Linked DNA regions of Oryctolagus cuniculus. The protein of the gene in region 1 purifies or fractionates together with the protein of each later gene. This does not show direct contact. Links are inferred from orthologs where the notes say so. Each region holds a gene or a part of one and is shown in the gene's direction. Other genes may lie near its edges.

The links.
Region 2: the proteins of ARRDC3 (region 1) and WWP1 purify together in Homo sapiens (affinity purification with mass spectrometry; 4 studies listed by BioGRID and IntAct, counting the BioPlex papers as one, with this or other methods). This does not show direct contact. The link is inferred for Oryctolagus cuniculus from reciprocal best matches to the Homo sapiens genes ARRDC3 and WWP1.
Region 3: the proteins of ARRDC3 (region 1) and ITCH purify together in Homo sapiens (co-immunoprecipitation; 5 studies listed by BioGRID and IntAct, counting the BioPlex papers as one, with this or other methods). This does not show direct contact. The link is inferred for Oryctolagus cuniculus from reciprocal best matches to the Homo sapiens genes ARRDC3 and ITCH.

Annotation. Positions count from the first base shown.
Region 1 is NC_091445.1:14,127,992-14,132,107, reverse strand, and holds the start of ARRDC3 (arrestin domain-containing protein 3), read left to right. Parts: upstream 1-1,221; 5' UTR 1,222-1,548; coding exon 1,549-1,828; intron 1,829-3,640; exon of another isoform or gene 3,641-3,721; coding exon of another isoform or gene 3,722-3,809; intron 3,810-4,116. UniProt on the Homo sapiens protein: Adapter protein that plays a role in regulating cell-surface expression of adrenergic receptors and probably also other G protein-coupled receptors.
Region 2 is NC_091437.1:111,622,113-111,626,395, forward strand, and holds the start of WWP1 (NEDD4-like E3 ubiquitin-protein ligase WWP1), read left to right. Parts: upstream 1-1,440; 5' UTR 1,441-1,817; intron 1,818-4,283. UniProt on the Homo sapiens protein: E3 ubiquitin-protein ligase which accepts ubiquitin from an E2 ubiquitin-conjugating enzyme in the form of a thioester and then directly transfers the ubiquitin to targeted substrates.
Region 3 is NC_091442.1:23,617,987-23,621,597, reverse strand, and holds part of ITCH (E3 ubiquitin-protein ligase Itchy homolog), read left to right. Parts: intron 1-2,912; coding exon 2,913-3,072; intron 3,073-3,244; coding exon 3,245-3,378; intron 3,379-3,611. UniProt on the Homo sapiens protein: Acts as an Acts as an E3 ubiquitin-protein ligase which accepts ubiquitin from an E2 ubiquitin-conjugating enzyme in the form of a thioester and then directly transfers the ubiquitin to targeted substrates.

The DNA of each region.
Region 1 (4,116 bases):
CATCTACCCAAACATACTACGCAGAAGAATCTAAAACGTATGGACACAGCCGTAGCCAAAAACCTTCCCAAGAATTCCTGGTTACGTATATGTGGCTTCAGATTCCCATCTTTTTCTGTCTTTCTATAGCTCTCCTGACAGCAGCTCTGCGGAGGCCAGTAATCTACACGAGTTTGTGCTGTTACACTCTGCATCCCAGTGGGGCGTGACGCAGGCTCTGCTATTTCTTACCGAAACACTCACAATCAAAAAAGACAAATGTACCTATTAGGATGCACGGGAATGACTAGGCTGAACAGTCCAGCGGACAACCGCGGCTCCGCAGAATCCGCATCCTCACTGATGCTAAGAATTATGCTTTCCACACGCTGCATCTCGCTCCTTCAAACCATCGCTCGCGCTCCAGCAACTCCCCACCAAGGCTGTGCGCCGAGCCGCCACCGTGCCACCTGCCTTCTGCAAGGTGGCACTGTGGACGCGAGGGCTGCAGCCGCGCACCCTGCACCCTGACTCCGGCCACGGCTGGCGTCCCTAACAAGGACCTCGGCTTCCTCGGGGGAAGCGGGCCGCCTGCCCCCAACGTCGCCAGCGACTCGCTCGGGGTAGCCGGAGCCGGCACAGCCCCCCGAGGGGACGGGACCTACGCCTCTTCCTCGCTGCCTTAGGGCGTCCGCTCCGCAGGCCCCCTTTTGGCCTCCAGGGAGCTCACTTCCACCCCGTCTACAGCCATCTACGGACGCGCATAAAATCCACGCCGAGACTGCTCTCGTCTGTGACCACGATTCCTGGCCCGGTTTTCAGGACTTTTTTTTTTTTTCCTCCCGAAAGTCGTTAGCTCAGGCTCAGCCACCCAGCCGCTGGCCCGACCGGTTTCTCCCCCTTCCTCCTCCTCCCAGGCAGGCGGCGGGCGAATCCGCGCAGCGCCGCTAACGCGTGCGCCGGCCCGGCCGCCCCTCCACGCGGCCCGCGGTCCCTCAGCGCCCCGCCGGCGGTCGCTCTGTCAGAGGCCGCCCGGCCAGCGGCTCCGGGGAGCACGCCGGGGCTTTCCGGCAGCCCGCCCGCCAATGGGAGCCCACAATGCAGCGAAGTCCGGCCGGGCCTCCCGGCAGCGCCCGTGCCGGCTTCCCCGGCTCCACGCCTACTGTACCCGCGCGCGTGCCCGGCGAGGGCGCGAGCGCGGCGCGGCGCGGCGCGGCGGGGGCGCGCGCCCGGGGGGCCGGCGGCCGCGGCGGCGTGCGCGTGCGCACTGGGGTTGTTTTTCACAAAGCTGCTCTTAAAGTGAGCTGGCAGGCTCCGGCCGCCCGTCTTTGTAAGGAGACCACTGAGACGGGCGGGCGCGCGGAGCCGCCGCCGCAGCCTCTCTGCTGCCCTGACTTTTAAGAGCTCTCAATGAACTGTCTGTAAGGAGCTACTGATCCTGCCTGCAAGGGTTTGCATTTTTGCACGGCAGAAGCATCGATCAGTGTTGAGTGAAGATCCCATTTTATATGCGATCTTGACTTTTTTGGGGGTCTTACATTATATTTTTTATAGATTTTTGTTATCAACATGGTGCTGGGGAAGGTGAAGAATTTGACAATAAGCTTCGACTGTCTGAATGACAGCAATGTCCCCGTGTATTCCAGCGGGGATACTGTCTCAGGAAGGGTGAATTTAGAAGTTACTGGGGAAATCAGAGTAAAATCGCTTAAAATTCATGCAAGAGGACATGCGAAAGTACGCTGGACGGAGTCTAGAAACGCCGGCTCCAATACTGCCTACACGCAGAACTACACCGAAGAAGTAGAATACTTCAACCATAAAGACATCTTAATTGGGCACGAAAGAGGTAAGTTTTCCTACCATTCGGCAGTCTGCAGGCTGGCTTTCTCGGGTGGACGTGGTTCTCGCAGCGTAGCTCGGCCGTTTGCTGGAGGCTAGCAAAGTTGCGAGGTTTGGGTTCTCCTTGACGGGAGGCTGTAATGCGTGCCGGCATCTGCAAAGCGACTGCAAACTGCACCTCGTCTCCACCACCCCTGGACCCGGCTCGGGCTGTGCCATACGCACTTGCGGTCCATTTGCACCTCACTCGGAAATTCTGCTTGCCTCCGAGTCCATGATTTTACTGCTACGTTTTCAAATGAATTGATGAAAGCTGCGGTCCGGCATCAGATTTTTAAAATTTTTTCCTTTTTCTTTGCAACCTTAGCTCAAAACCTGAGCTTGAAGGAAGGAATGAAATAACATTTTAGGAGGGTTAGTAGATGTGTTTCCTTTTAATATTAACGTGCAAAGGACTTTATAAGGAATTGATCATTGTTCTTTGAGAGAGGGTTTCCCTGGCTTATTTTGACATATGGTATTACCAACACCCCACGTGTTTTTTTTTTTTTTTAACCTCTTCTTTCCAATGCTTTGGGAATTTTGCATCAAGCATTCCTTATTTTAAAAGACAGTATCTATCACCGTGGCCGGTGTTCAGTCAGGTTCAGAAGCCATTCAGGGCCAGCAGTTTCTTCTCCAAGCATCATGTCTAACTTTGGAACGTGCATTCAATGAAACCCTGCCAGTCCAATGGAATTGAAAAGTAGACCGCACACTGGACTTGATTTTTGGTTAGAAGGGGGAGATGGAGGGTTGTCAAAGGGAGAGGGGGTCCTGAGATTTCCCCTCTATTGTTTAGATGGCTACATTGTGGAAATATAGGAGACTCTAAGCTTGTTTTTCTAAGTTTCCACCCTTTGTTAGAAGCGGTTCAATCCTGTTTCGGACCAGTTCTGGGGGGTGGTGAGGAGGGGCGCTTGTGCAGCTCTCAGCAGATTGGTTACACGCGTCAGGTGGTGGCGATGACTTAATTCTAGCCCAAGAAGAATATAATGTTAAAACTGGTTATGTAATTTTGTGCTTCTCCTTTTTAATGCAGTATTTAGTGCAAATGCTGACTTTTTCAGAAAGAGGCTCGCTTTTATCTGCGTTTTTATATTCAAGATATACATCCCAGGGAAATGCTAATTGAATTAAGGGAAGGGAGAAATAAAGGAAGCGTTGAGTTACAGCATTATTGCATTTTTTTTTTAAATGCTCAGGTGAAATCAGTTCTTCGGCAGGGTTTCCACAGTTCACCTAGGTGGTTTTGCATCTTGAAGTAATTTCTAGTTCATCTTCCCAAGCGTTAACTCTGATAGGAAATGCAAAGCGCCTGATGACAGTTCTGCTGTGTGCTGCAAAGCGCACACGCGAGTTTGATTTCGAGCCTTTTATAAAATGAGAAGAAACAAAAGGTTTTTCTCTCAAGAGTTGAGCCTTGCAGTGAAGGGAAAGTAGAACAATGCGTTGGGGCGGAAAGCAAGGTCGTTAGCTGCACCTCGACTTCGTGGTGAGGAAAACCGAACGCCCCGCACCCAGCCGGGCGCCCCCCGAAGCCGGCCACGCGTGGACGAGCTTCTGCCTGGAGTAGTTTCAATGACTTTAGCTGAGAGCTCTCACACGAGCCTGGCAGCGGAGGCCCCGCCCCGGGCGGCCGGCGAGGGGCGGGGCCAGGTTTGTTAGCCTGTTGCTAAGGCGATGCCGGGCGCTGATTGGATTGGGCCGGCGCGGGTGGGGAGAGTGGGCTCCGGCCGGCTGGGGCGCGGCTTGGAACCGGCGTGCGCCGGTAAAGGTCCCTCCCGAGCGGCCGCCCCCGCCCGCGCTCGCGCGAGTGCGTTCCCGGGCTTCCGTGGGCTCCCGGGGCCCGCGTCGCGGCATGCCCTGCTGCTGTCCCTCTCTCCGGCCTGTTGGGGCCACGAGGGGGACGCCTCGTACGGGGCGCCAGCCGCTGCCGGCTTTCACAGGTGCAGAGTCGCCCTGGGCGCAACTTTTGGCCAGAGACCCTCGTAGAGGGGGCTGGCGTGAGGAGAGCGAGCGGGACCCCCGAGGTCGCGGGCGACGTGTCGGAGTGGCTCCCTTTCCTCTCGGCTGCCACAGACATGTGCCGACTGTCCAGTCAGCAGTCTGGCTACCTTGACGTGACCTGAGGGGGAGTCTGGCACTGGCTGGCCAGGGCAAAGAAAAGTGGTTTCAAATCCGGGAATCTGGGCGGGAGGGGGTCTCGGCGAGCGTCCCCGGTCCCTTCCCCATTGTTTCCCGGAGCCTCAGGCC
Region 2 (4,283 bases), on another chromosome or scaffold:
AAGGAAGCCAGCATGCACTCTGGAGGAGGGCAGATCTTGCTGGGAATTCTTAGGGAATTGCTGGGTGGGTTGGCGGGTGGGGGGGGGGGCGGTGAGTTGCAAATTCGTGGTGACATCTATTTAAAGGGACTGTTACGCAAAACGAAGAGGGCAAATCAGAGGACATCGTGGTTAAAGCACAGAGATGAGTGAGTACATTCAGGGAAGCGGAAGGAGTTTTTCCTAAGAGGAGGAACAGAGTATATGAGCATGAAAAGGGGCTTGACTATCGCGGTAACCTTCCTCAGGAAAGCTAGGAAGAGCCAAAGAATGAAGCAGCGGGGTGAGCGACGAGCTCAGACGGGCATTCAGAATGATCTTCGGGGATTCAATGGGGACCAAATTCAGGTGTGAAGGCAGAGGTCAGCACTCCTGCCCCGGAGTGGAAGGAAATGTGCATGTGTCCCACCAGGAGGTATTTATTGGATCCCACAAATATTCGTGGAGTGGCATCAACAATGACACTGCCACTCTACGAAAAGCTCTGTTGTGACAAAAGAAGAGAGAGCAGGAAGGGAGTTTTAAAGTCAATGGAAAGTTTAGGTGAGAAAAGTCTTAAAACATGGTTATGCTAACAGGTGAGGTTAGAGAAGTGCCAGGAAGGGTCCCGAGAGGGAGCAGAGCGCAGGTTCGCTTGGGAGAGTAGCAGGGACACCAAGCCTCTGAGAGTGTGGACGTAGGTAATTTGTTGGGGTAGGTGAGGTGTTTGGGCAAACACTCGAGAAATTCATGCATGAGTAATGTGGCCCTTACTCACTTGTATTTGCTCGGCCTTCTAAAAGCAATACACGGGCACTTCCCTAAACAGGCTGACTCGGCGTGAATGATGGAAATAATAGACGCTACCTGATGAGACTGTTATGGGGACTAATTGCGCTGACACATACTCTTGTTCAACATGTATTAGCTTTATCACTGGGCTGACGTGGGCAGGGGTGGGTTGTGAACGTTTTGATTACCAATATACAGAAATTGCAAGTCTTCTGGTATGTCTATCTTCTAAATGCATGTACTTTGGCAACGGGCTCTAAGTCAAGCACTCAGCTAGGTCAAGCAGACTTTATTAACAGCCTGCTTTCGCTGTAAGGCGTTCGTAAAAAAGGACGCCAGTGCCCTAAGGAGCCTGCTTGAGGTCACGCGCAGGTTGGGCCGAGTACCGGAAAGTCAAGTCAGCAGTACCTAGCACTGGCTTAAAGCCTCTTCCCAAACCTCTGCGGAAGCCCCACCCCTTTCACAGGTCCAGGCCACGCCCCCTTCCCCTATTGGCTGGCCCGCCCCCGCCCCCCCACACGAGTCGATCGCTCAGAAGACCCGGAGGAGTGGCCCTTCTAAAGGCGGCGGGGGTGCCCTTGCTGCGCATGCTCGCAAATCCGCCGGATTCCGGCTCCGGAGTTGGAGTCTTTAGGTGGCCGCTGCGTAGCGCGGTGCCCGGGCGGGTGGAGGGGGCGCGCGCTCTGGGCGCGGCGCCGGTGACGCGGGCACGCGGCGTGCTCCCGAGGAAGGGAGGTGTGGGGTCGACTCGGGGGTGGCGCGTGGCCGGGGTGGGGGTGGGGGGAGGGTCGGGTGTCGGCAAACGCGGCGTGCGGGTTTCGAGTGGCTGCAGGCGGCCTGGGCTGCCGGGGCCGACGCCTGGGTGGCTGCCGCTGCCGCTGCCGCCGCCGCCGCCGCGCCTGCTGCGAGATGGCGATCTTAGGCGCGGAAGGTTGAGGGCGCCCGCCGCGGGAGGAGGCGCCGCAGCTGTGGCCGTCCGCTGCCGGGCGCCGGCAGCTTCGCGCAGGGTAAGGACGCCGGGGCGGGGGGCGCGGGGCGCGGGCCCGGAGCCTCGGCCGCGGTGTGGGGAGTCCGGCGCCGACCGCCCCCGGGCGGGACTCTCTCTCTCTCTCTCTCTCTCTCTCTCTCGGGGCCGTCGGGGGACAGTTCGCGCCGCCGTGTCTGCCTTCTCCAGCCCGGGGGGCCTGGAGTTTTCTGGGCTTGGGTCACGGGTCTTGCCCGGAGTTGGCCCTGGCACAGGCCTGGGCGAATGATCCTGGAGCGGGGCGAAGTGTTTCCGTGACTCTGCAGCCGCAGTTCCCCGTTCCCTTCGCCTTCTCGTCTGCTGCTTCTACGTTTCTGCCTCACACCTCCCTCAAAGCACGGACTCCCTGCCCGTGCCCTGACTTTCACCCCCTTCCGCCGTCCCAAACCAAGGACTCCAGTCTCAGAACGTCTCTTTCTGACGTGCTTTTTTTTTTTTTTTTAAATCTGGCTTTTCCACTGATTCCGCAGCCACCCCCCCCCCCAACACAACCCCCACCTCTACCTTTTGTGACCTGGTAGATCTCAGTGACCTTGCAGATTTTGCCAGTCCCAGCCTCACGTGTGACTTCAATCCCCTTCTTTAATCTTTTTTTTTTTTTTTGAGGGGTGGTAGTGGTGGTGGTAAATTTAAATTGATACTTTGTCCATTGCTTTTACAACATTTAAATTGCCAGCCTCATATGCACAAGGACTGTGCAGAGCTTTTCTTTACTCCGTGGATGTGGAGTTGACTTTCTTTTGCTCCGGTAATTACGTGAGAGCTTCGTTTCCAAAAAGCAAAAACAAAAAACACACACCAAAAAAACAGTAGTTATCTATGTATAAATTTGATGTTTTTACTCCTTAAAGACAGAATATTTTGTAAGGGCTTGCTTTAGTTTTCCTTTTTTTATTTGGAAAGATTTTAATCTTTTTTGTGTGTAGGCTCATATGCATAAAGATTGGAGTTTTTGCTTTAAGATGCTAATGGTCATAGTAGCAAAAGCTAATGTCCGAAGTTATCTTTCTTCCCCCTCTCCTCTTTAATATTTTTACCTGAAACACCTGGTTTATAGCTGTCTGCAGGTTTCTACAAGAGTTCATGCTTATGTTTAAATCCATTTTTACCTGTCTCATCAAGTCTGTGTATTATGCAAGCAAAAAATCAGGTTTTAAAAAATAAAGGCATTCTTTTATTTATGTGACTTGTTTTTAGCCATAAAGCAGTATATTGTGTTACTGGAAATTATTATTTTTCATAAATAGTTAATATTTTTAAGTTGAAGATGTTAGTGGCCAAGAGTTGGGAGCTACTTGAACTGAAAAGTGTGAAATGTGTGGAATAGTTCTTTGGAACATAGCTTACAAACATTTCAAAGTGTTTTTCCCATAAAGTGAAGAACTGCTTGTAAGACCCACAACACCATCGTTTTGAAAAGCAGTCCTTACAATGCTTGTTTTTTGGAAGACTAACATGATAGAGGATGTCATAGATAAGGTCTCTGCCTTCAAAGAGATTGTAATCTTTGCTGTTTACCCCAGGACGATTGACATTTCTTTTCCTTCCTTGCACAGTTATTTAGCATCTACTGCATGAGGTATTTTGGGGAATACAAAGAATAATTAACAATTTCTGTCCCCAGTCCTGCGAATAATACACACAAATGCCCCGTTTGTCTTTTAATATATAGTAAAGTTTCATAATGATACAAAAATCCAACCAGAATTTAAATTCAGAAGTGGTAGAGTTGCGATCCTCTGGAAAGGTGCAGTTAGTTAGGAGAACTTCTGGCTTTCTAAATCTTAGTTTTGAAGAATGACTGACATTGGATAGACAGGGAAAGATAATCCAAGCAAAGAGAAGAATCTGAGAGGGCACCAAGTTCATACATCTGGGAAGAGGCACGTAATTATGGTTAAATGGAACACAGAGTTTTTGTACTAGGATAAAGGGTGATAAAGCTTTGGTAAAGGCTTGGGACTAGTTGTGGATTGTTTTTAATGCCATGCTAATGACCTTGAATTTCCTAAGCATTGAGGGCTCCGAAGATAATTTTTAAGTTGGGAGTGAAACAATTTTAGACTATTGTTTTAAGAGGCTTAATCTGGTAGCAGCTTGTATGAGTGGAGGACTAGAGATCCTGGAAGTAGGAACACTTCCTGATTGTCTTAATTGTAGGTGGGGAGGCTCTAAGCTGTTTTGGTAATAGGATTGGAAAGGAAAAAGGAAATAGAATAGCCAGAATTTGAGAGGGATCCAGGTAGATTGGAGGAATAGGACCATTTTGAGCAAGATCCTTGTAGACTTGACCCTCAGTGTTTGTGAGTTACTTTACAACTTTTTGCTGTTTATTAATCCTAACTAAAAAAGCTGCTAGCCTGGAAGACTTCCAGAGGCACAGTGAGGACTCTTCAAAGAGTTTGGAAAATGTGCATTTATTTTTAATTTCTTTTGAGAGACACCGCTC
Region 3 (3,611 bases), on another chromosome or scaffold:
TCTTGGTTCCCAACAGAGTTAATATCCATGAAAATATAGACTGTGTAAGATACGAGTTGAAGTGTTAATTTGTTTTAATTTTTATGTTTATTTGCTCATTATTTGAAAGGCAGAGAGACAGAGAAAGAAGAGGGATCTTCCATCTCCTAGTTCACTCCCCAAATGCCTGCAGTAGCCAGGGCTGGGCCAGGCCAGAGCCAGGAACACAAAACTTAGTCTGGGTCTCCTACGGGGGTGACAGGGACCCAAGTCTGTCACCCAGGGTACCCCTTAGCAGGAAGCTGGATCCAAAGTGAAGGAGCTGGGGCTCTAACCAGGTGTTCTGATACAGGATACAGGCATCTCAAGTGGCATCTTAACCACTTCACCAAATACCCACTCGAAGTTCAGATTCTCAATTCTGCTTCATATCTGAACATTTACTCAAAACCTGGGAGACAGCCTCAAGCAAGAAACTACTTTGCTTATCCCATAACAGTATGTCACCCCAGGTTAGAATTTGCAGGGGGCAGGCATGCCTTCATTCCATACGCCAGCTCCTGCAGCTTACTGCTAATGCAGACCCTGGGAGGCTGTGGTGCTGGCTCATGTAATTGAGTTCCTGCCATCTGCATGGGAGAACTGGATTGAGTTCCTGGCCGTGGACATCTGGGGAGTAAGCTAGCAGATGGGCGCTGTCTTTCTCTCTTTCTCTGTCTCTGTCTGTCTCTCTCACTCTCTCTTGTTTTCTCTTCTACCCCTCAATGTAAATAAATTTAATTATTTTTCTTTTGTGGGCTTAGCAATGGCAGTTGGAAAGGCAAGAACTTTGGAGTAATACTGGATTTGCATATTTTTTCTGCCCTCAATAATATGTCCTTTGGACAAGTAACTCCTGTGAAGTTGGGAGTAGTAATATCTGCCTTTGTAGGATTACTGTGCAGTTCAGAGCTGAATCTTTATGTGCCCACTAACTAGCAGCTATACTTTAATAGTTCTTTATATCCTGTTTAAGTTCAAATGAAACTATTTCAAAATACATGAAATAATCACAGATAAGTAAATATGAGTTACTAGTTTAGGATAATGCAGGAAGAAGGCAATCATTCATTCCTAATAAAAAAATTGAGTAGCAGTTTAAAGTGTCAGTATTATTATCATCAGAGGCCATGAACTAACAGGAAAAGAGATCTTGGGCACAAGTTGATGCCACACATGTTGTCCCACATCGGCTACATCAGACTCACCCATGTTACATAGTTAGTATCCACAGTCATATGTTAATATGGTTTGATGTTGCCGGCGCCGCGGCTCACTAGGCTAATCCTCCGCCTAGCGGCGCCGGCACACCGGGTTCTAGTCCCGGTCGGGGCGCCGGATTCTGTCCCGGTTGCCCCTCTTCCAGGCCAGCCCTCTGCTGTGGCCAGGGAGTGCAGTGGAGGATGGCCCAAGTGCTTGGGCCCTGCACCCCATGGGAGACCAGGAAAAGCACCTGGCTCCTGGCTCCTGCCATCGGATCAGCGCGGTGCGCCGGCCGCAGCACGCCGGCCGCGGCGGCCATTGGAGGGTGAACCAACGGCAAAGGAAGACCTTTCTCTCTGTCTCTCTCTCTCACTGTCCACTCTGCCTGTCAAAAAAAAAAAAAAAAAAAAATATGGTTTGATGTTTTCACAGCATTCGAGTTAGAGCTTCTCAGAACTTTTTTTCTAATAAATGAGGGACTGGAGTTAAGTGCTTTACTGCATCTGTGTTATTGGAAGATTTTTCATACCCATTTAAAAATGTAAGGAATAGTGGTGCACTTGATGAGGATCAGCACAGGACTTAGTAATAGGAATATTAGACTTAGTATAGTAATAGTAATAATAGGAATATTAGACTTATTTTAGCCACTCTATTAATGAATTATGTACAACTTGCTTGTACATACTATTTCATCAGTTCTGAGACCACCATTTTCACATTTTAATATATCTAAACTTGAGGTGTATATTACATTATAATTGAAGAAAGTGGTTTATCAAGTAAAAATGCCTTTGGTGTCAATGATGTCTTAGATTTTTGACATATAATAATAAGTACTGGCTGGCACCACAGCTCATTAGGCTAATCCTCCGCCTGCGGCACCTGCACCTGGGATTCTAGTCCCAGTTGGGGCGCCGGTTCTGTCCCGGTTGCTCCTCTTCCAGTCCAGCTCTCTGCTGTGGCCCAGGAGGGTATTGGAGGATGGCCCAGGTCCTTGGGAGACCAGGAGGAAGCACCTGCTCCTGGCTTTGGATCGGCACAATGCGCCGGGCCATAGCGGCCACTTGGAGGGTGAACCAATGGAAAAAGGAAGACCTTTCTCTCTGTCTCTCACTGTATAACTCTGCCTGTCAAGAATAATAATAATAATAATAATAAGTACTATGTAATTATCATCTCTGTAAAATGGATTCTAGTTGGGGCCGGCACTGTGGCACAATGGGATAAATCATTGCCTGCACTGCTGGCATCCCATATGGCTCTGGTTTGAGCCCTGGCTGCTCCACTTACCATCCAACTCCCTGCTAATGCTCCTGGGAAATCAGCAGAAGATAGCCCAAGTCTTTGGCCCTCTGTACCCAAGTGGCAGACCAAATAAAGCTCCTGGCTCCTGGTTTCAGCCTGGCCTAGCCCCAGCTGATGCTGCCCTTTGGGGAACCAGTGTATTGAAGATCGATCTCTCTTTCTCTCTCTCTGCAACTCTGCGTTTCAAATAAATAAATAAATCTTTAACCAAAAAAATAGATTTGAGTTGAACAGAAGCAGTAAAAAATCAATGTGAGATTAAAAAACTATCTCCAGCTGAGGAGAAGGAAAGTAGATTCCTGAGAAATTTGTGGCACTGCTCTTTGATTTGTTAGCGTGATTACTTGTAAGATTTTTCATACTAAATTTTCTTTTGATTTCAGAGAATGGTTCTTTCTTTTGTCACATGAAGTGTTGAACCCAATGTATTGCCTGTTTGAATATGCAGGGAAGGATAACTACTGCTTGCAGATAAACCCTGCTTCTTACATCAATCCAGATCACCTGAAATATTTTCGCTTTATTGGGAGGTTTATTGCCATGGTACGTACAGATGGAAAGCTGTGCATTTACTTTGCTAATTCAGCAATACTAAATTTTCTTATATGTGCCATAATAGATAAGGAAATTTTTCTAGTGAAGAATTCATCTAAAATTTTAAAATAAAATGACTATTAAATGTTATCTTACATGGTATTGTATCCTTTTTTCATAGGCTCTATTTCATGGGAAATTCATAGACACAGGCTTCTCTTTACCATTTTATAAACGTATCTTGAACAAACCAGTTGGACTTAAGGATTTAGAATCTGTTGATCCAGAATTTTATAATTCCCTCATCTGGGTTAAGTAAGTTTCTGCTTACATTAATTCTTAAAATATAGTTTATATGCTTTCATTATGTTATTGGTAGCTTATCCAAACTGTAAGCATATATTGGTTTATTGAATTTAAATTATCTGTACATCAAACTGATTATTCAGTATAAGTTTTATAGAAATACACCTAAGATTTTCAGCAGTAATATGTCTTTGGAGAATAATCATACAATTTCTTGTGTTTTGATATTGTAGCTTAATGTT